2 linked regions of the Mus musculus genome follow. The protein of the gene in region 2 interacts with the protein of the main gene of each other region in a pairwise test. Links are inferred from orthologs where the notes say so. Each region holds a gene or a part of one and is shown on either strand. Other genes may lie near its edges.

Region 1 (4,239 bases), on a different chromosome or scaffold from region 2:
TGCCGTGGGTGTTCTTCTGGGTGGCAAATGAGAGATCACAAAATCCTGGTCTATTTTTCTTTAATTATGGATGCATAGAGAGATGGGGGAGAGGGAGAAGAAGAGGGAGAGGGAGAGATATGAGGGGAGGGAAGAGGAAAGGAGAGAAGAGGAGAGGGGAGAAGGGAGGAGAGGAAAGGAGAGGAGAGGAAAGGAGAGGAGAAAAGAATGGAAGAGAAGGGAGGAGAGAAGAGGAGAGGAGAGGAGAGGAGAGGAGAGGAGAGGTATAAAGAGGGAGGCGATTCTTTTGGACTAGAGCTCCAACCACACTTTAAGTTCTTTCTCTCTCTCCATCTATCCCAGGGTCATCCGGTCCCAACCTTCAGATTTGCTTTCCAAGGCTTTTCCTGGTGGGTCAGGTCTGTCTCAGGCTACAGTATGTGTCCGCTTGAGAGCTTACTGGAATGCTAGGCTTACTCTCTGCACGGACTCGGACAGAGAAACTGCAGGAACCCAGAGAACTGAGGAAGCTGTGCCTAGACTGGAGGCGCCTGCTGCTGGCTCTTCATTCTCCTTCAATTTTCCCACCTCGCACTGGAACTAGCTCCGAGGAGACTGCTGGAAACCTTTGCTTCCAGAGCCTCAACCTAAGCCCTCAACAGAGAGGCTGACAGACCATCGGGTTTGGTTTTCCCATAAATGACACAGTCCTCTTTGCTCCCCACTGCCTACTGCTTAACTTCAATTCCCCTTTGCTCAGCGGCTTAAACTCTCCCCTGCATTCCAGGCTGGAGCTTCAGGTGTAGGAGAGGTAGCCCAGCAGAGGCAGAGAGATCCAGTGTCTCTGTACAAACCTGCTTAAAGGTGCTTCTGTTCAGAGGGATGCATTTCAGCACCTCAGCCAATGACAGGGCACCCACTGCAGGCTCTCTCTCTCTCTCTCTCCCTCTCTCTCTCTCTCTCTCTGTGTGTGTGTGTGTGTGTGTGTTTCTCTGTTTCCTTCTCTGTCTCTCTCTCTCTGTGTCTCTTTGTGTGTGTGTCTTTCTCTCTGTGTCCTTCTCTGTCTCTGTATGTGTGTGCTTCTCTGTCTCTGTGTGTGTGTTGTGTGTGTCTGTCTCTGTCTGTCTGTCTGTCTGTCTGTTTTACTGTCTGAATCCCTCCATATCTGTCTCTCTGTTTCTTTGTGTGTATATCTGCCTCTCTCTGTCTCTGTCTCCTTCTGTCTCTTTCTGTCTCAGTCTCCTCCCTCCCTCCTATTTCCTCCCCCCTCCTCCCTCCTCTTCCTCTTCCTCTTTCACTTACCTCCTTCTCACTTGGAAAAGAGTCACCCTGCGCACTCCTCAGCTTTATCTCTCTTTCAGGGCCCTGACTAGAGAGAACTAGAGGCCCCTCCAGATGCCAGCAGACAGCACGCAGGACGAGGATGCTGTGCTCTCCTACGGGATGAAACTCACGTGGGACATCAATGACCCACAGATGCCTCAGGTAAGGAAGACACTGCACTTTGGGTAAAATATGACACTGTCCAGCCAAAGGGGAAACTTCGAGCCAATTCATGCTAAGACCACACACACACATACACACACACACACACACACACACACACACATCTTCGGATATGTAGGGAAGTTAGACTCTACAGAGTGCAGAATAGATTGATGTGTCTTCTCAGAATGATTTACATGTGATTCTCTGAAACACACAAAAGCAACAGAAATACAGACATGTTCCCAAGTAGTCAGCCAGACTCTCCATTTTCTTAACCAAGGGAGAAACTGAGTGAGTCTCTCTCTCTCTCTCTCTCTCTCTCTCTCTGTCTCTCTCTCTCTCTCTCTCTCTCTGTCTCTCCTTGGGATTGGTACAAATTCAAGGCCAGTCAGGGCTACTTAACAAAGCCTCCTGTCAAAACAAAACAATGAGAAACCTCACTCTTTACTCGATTATTCCAAGTTCAAGAGAAAGTTTTGGAGAAATGTAAATACCACTAATTCTCACATGACCAAGCCAGGCACTAAGAGGTGACTGGAATCTAAAACAAATGTCCAGACTGGAGCGATTCCTTGACAGTACTCCATCACCTGCTGAGAAGATTCCACAGTCGGGATGCAGAAGTCGCCTTGCTCCACTCTCACGTCCCTAGCAGTGGAATGCTTGTCCTTTGGGGGAAACTTTGTTTTTTTTCATTATCAGAGCCAAGTACAAGAAATAAACTAGGCAGTTTGTGTTTAGATCAAGACTAATGGCTGAAAAGTGTGTGTATGTGTGTGTACAGTGTGTGTGTACAGTGTGTGTGTAGTGTGTGTGTGTAGTATGTATGTGTGGTATGTGTAGCGTATGTGGTATGTGTGTGTGGTGTGTGTAGTGTGGGGGTGGGGGTGGTGGGGGTGGTGTGTATACATGTGTGTAATGTGGTGTGTGTGTGGTATGCGGTGGATGTAGTGTGTGTGAGTATGATGTGTGTGGTGTATGTGGTGTGTGTGTGTGTGTGTGTGTGTGTGTGTGTGGGGTGTGGTGTTCATGTGTGCAAATGAACTTAGCGGCTAGAGATGATTGGTTTCCCTAGCATTTACAGAGTGGGCTTCCAGTAAAGTCCTGCTTCAAGGGTTTGAAATGTGGCATTTAATGGCCTCTGTGCTATGCCAGATGATACTCAGAGATGAGAGACGGTTGACCAGGATGTGTCGCCTCTGGTTGAGGCCAGCATTTGTTTAATGGACACATGTGTAAGGAGCTTGCCTCGCTTGCTCATGTTCAGCCTGCCTCCTTCAGCATCTTGTAGGACAACTGTTCTGAACAGAGATCGCAGAATGCATGTCCCATTACTGCTGACCTCAGCTGCTGTAAATCCCAGAGAAAACATCTAATCTCGTGTTTTGAAAAAGAATCGGATCCAAACGATACAATACAAACATGACCTCAAAGATGCATAGATATTGGTTTTCCTTTTGGGGGGAATCTGCTTTTATTTTATTTTTTTTTTATTGTGTGTATACTATGTGTGCCCATGTGTGTAGAGGCAAGTGCGGATGTCACAGGATGGTTTCATGAGTCAGTTCTCTCTCTCAGCCATGGGATTTAAGATTTAACTCAGATGGTTAAGTTTGCAAGGCCAAGCCTTTACCTGCTAAGCTGTCTGGTCTTTAATCAGGAGTATGTCTAACACGTGAGAAAGGACAGGAATAAAGACAGAAACAGCAGTAACAAAACAATCCATCTCGTGCACTCTCTCTCTGTCTCTCTCTGTCTCTCTCTCTATCTCTGTCTGTCTCTCTCTCTCGTGTGTGTGTGTGTGTGTGTGTGTGTGTGTGTATTGTCAACACATTAGAGCAAATGAAACCTCCTTTCAGGTATGCATACGCCACATAGACAGACACACAGACACAGACACAGAGACACACACACACACACTTATCTTTCTAGCTCTTCTAACTGGTCGAGTGAAGTAAACTGTCTTTGTGACCTTGAACTTTTGTTATTCTCCGGCTGCTGTCCTGTCATCAAATGATGAAACTAGATAACAATCTCAAATTGTCCTCAGACATACTGTCATCTTGCAATGTGTGAGCGTGTGTATGTGAGCATGTGTGTGTGTGTGTGTGTGTGTGTGTGTGTGTGTGTGAGCATGCATGCTGGCAACACATTAGAACAAATGAAACCTCGTTTCAGGTGTGCATACCACACAGACAGGCATACAGATGCACACACACAATTAGAAACAAGCATAAAATAAATCTTTCAACTACTAAATAGAAGCAGAGTTGAATGCTTTTCTTTTTAGGGCAGCTGGTCAATTGTAAGTTTTTGAATTTGCCTTGCTTTACATGATCTGCGATTAGGCAAATGAGAAAAATGCCCCCGAATTCCATTCACCTCCGTGCACTGGGAGAAAAATGTAAAAACTGTCATTGCGGCCTCATTGTTCAACACATCTTTGTAATGTGCTCTGGGTCCACTTTTCGTAGACGAGATTAGCCTGAATCTCGTTCTCCACCTTGGAGATTTTGGTCATCAGTGTAAATACTGACTTGTTTAAAAAGAGTGAGCAATCTGGAGATCTGAAGAATAGCTTCTCCACAGAACACAATGTCCGTTTGATATTTTGATATCACTTATATATATTGTGGTGACCTGAATGCTGAGCTGTGAAATTTAGAGACTGAAATGTGCTTTAATCTTGCAGTGCTTGGTGAAAGCCAAGGGGTAGGAGCACATGCCCGCACCTGTAATCCTAACACTCAAAATACAAAAGCAGAAGGGTCA
Region 2 (2,404 bases):
CCTTTGGCAGGATTGCTACTTGCTGTTGCTTGCTGAGAGCTACTCTCCTGGAATCTAAGCTGGAGGAGACAGCTTGAGTCCAGAAAGAGTGATTCCGCTGGAAGGGGGGATATGAAGCCCCTTCTACAAGATCTGAAACTTCCAGGCACTCTGATCTTTGTAGTCCAGAGGGTCCATGGGATTGTAGGTAAATTTCCAGGTGCCTGTGGGGTCCTTGAATTCCAGGCTGTCCACAGGACTGTAGGTGCTATAGCTCTGGCCTGACAAGGAGGTGGGGGACTGGGCCAGGGATGGCCCCACAGAGGGGCCTGAGAGGGGGCTGAGAGCCGGACCCCCAAGTTGGGGCACCATGGGCGAAAGGTAGGGATCCAACCCACTGAAATAGGAACTTGGAGATGCATAAGCTGAAGGGGAAGAACAGAAAGCAGAAGCCGGGGCATAGGTCATGGCATAAGGGGCTGAGGTGAGAGAGGGCCCAGAAGCCACTAGGCCGGCTCTCTGGGCCTCAGGCAAAGGAGCCTCTGAGGCTGGACTCCAAATGGACACGGTGGCCACTGCTGTGGTAGGTGAACCTGAGGGGCCAGGCAGAGATGGGCTGTAAGAATCTGAGATGCCCAAAGGATCTGTACAAACATCTGTAGAGGGTCTCGGGGATGTCCCTGCCTTCCTCTTCGCAGGACGAGCCTTGGTCTGTGCCCCCGGGGGCTGCTGTTGCTGTTTCTGCTGCTGTCGCTGCTGTCTGCATTTCGCCCTACGATTCTTGAACCAGACCTAGATAGAGAGAGGAAATATGGGGGGAAGGGGAGTGAACTCACATGCCAAGAGCAGACAAAGCTGATGGTAAGACCCACACATCACCACTCTGCATCCAATGATAGGGCAGCTCTGTCCATGATCTGTGTACCTGTCCAATCATGCATGTACACGTGCACACAGAAACCTACATGCACTGATCACACACACATATCATACATGCAGGCAATTATACACTACATGCATATACCAGTCATCATGTATCACCTACCTACCTGATTGATCACACATGCATACATACAATCATACATTATTCTCACATAATATGCATGCAGTCACACACACATACACATACATGCATTCAGCCACCCACCTGATCCCATGAATATGTATGCAATTGTGTATTGTCCTCACATATATACATGTAATCATACACATATGAACATATTATATTTACTTGTTCCTGCTTATGAATGCATGCATTATACTCACATATCATACATACAGTCATGCACGTATGAACACATTATATTAACATGCTCCTACTCATGATTATGTATATGTAATCATACATGCATTATAGTCACATATCATACATGCAATCATGTATCTATGCATAAGTACATATATGCATAGATACATGCCATCATGATACATGATACAGCCAATTTCATAGTACACATATGCATGCAATTTTACATATAGATATAATAATACCAAAGCTAGGGATGTAGCTCAGTGGTAGAGCATACACCTGGCATACACAGGGCATCATATAAGAAGAGTGACATATGGAACGTGAGGGGCATTTAGACCACTTCATAAATATGGCTGCTACCCTTGGCTTCTCTCTTTCATCCACTCTGGATCTGACACAGGCCCACAGAAAGTTACAGTAAGGGTATGAGGGGTCCAGGGAGCAGATCATCCTACCTGGACCCTGGACTCAGGCAGATTGATCTTAAGAGCAACCTCCTCACGTGCATACACATCCGGGTACTGGGTCTTGGCAAACAGGGCCTCCAGCTCCTCCAGCTGGCTCCTGGTGAATGTGGTCCGCTCCCGCCGCTGCTTCCTAGGGGCACCTAAGCGGGGGCAAATTAAAGAACCCTCAGGATAGCTAGGTCTGCTCGCCAGAGGCCATGAGGTACAGAGGAATACCTGTCCCAAAGACCTTTCTTCACGTCCATCAGCCTAAACAAGGAGCTTTGATTGATTCTCTGGCCTCCTAGTGGCTGCTCAGTCCCCAGAGGAATTGAGGAATTGTGTTCCAGTCATTCATTCACTGACAGAAACTGGTTTTAGCCCTACAAGAATTTGCCCTTCCATTTTGTTCTTGTTTCATTCCTACCCCCTCCTTCCCTTTCTTCTCTTCCTTCTCCTCCTCTCTCTCCCCTTCCTCCTTTCTTCCTACTTCTCTCTCTCCTATCCTCCCTTTTCTCTTCCCCTTCCTTTTATCCCTCCCCCTCTCTTTCATTACAACAGGGTTTCACTACATAGCCCAGGCTAGCCCTGAAATCATGGTCTCAAGAGATCCTCCTACCTCAGCCTCCCAAATCTCTGGAACTACAGGCAAGGGTCACTGTACCAGATGCCTCTCTTGAAACTTTATGCTCAAAGATATATTTTGTTGAAACATGACGTTGTCAAT

The links.
Region 1: the proteins of Crx (region 2) and Gcm2 interact in binary tests that used the Homo sapiens proteins (3 or more experiments, as listed by UniProt). The link is inferred for Mus musculus from reciprocal best matches to the Homo sapiens genes CRX and GCM2.

What each region holds. Positions count from the first base shown.
Region 1 is NC_000079.6:41,107,090-41,111,328, reverse strand, and holds the start of Gcm2 (chorion-specific transcription factor GCMb), read left to right. Parts: upstream 1-1,340; 5' UTR 1,341-1,374; coding exon 1,375-1,464; intron 1,465-4,239. UniProt on the Homo sapiens protein: Transcription factor that binds specific sequences on gene promoters and activate their transcription. Through the regulation of gene transcription, may play a role in parathyroid gland development.
Region 2 is NC_000073.6:15,867,657-15,870,060, forward strand, and holds part of Crx (cone-rod homeobox protein), read right to left. Parts: intron 1,839-2,404; coding exon 1,687-1,838; intron 772-1,686; coding exon 124-771; 3' UTR 1-123. UniProt on the Homo sapiens protein: Transcription factor that binds and transactivates the sequence 5'-TAATC[CA]-3' which is found upstream of several photoreceptor-specific genes, including the opsin genes.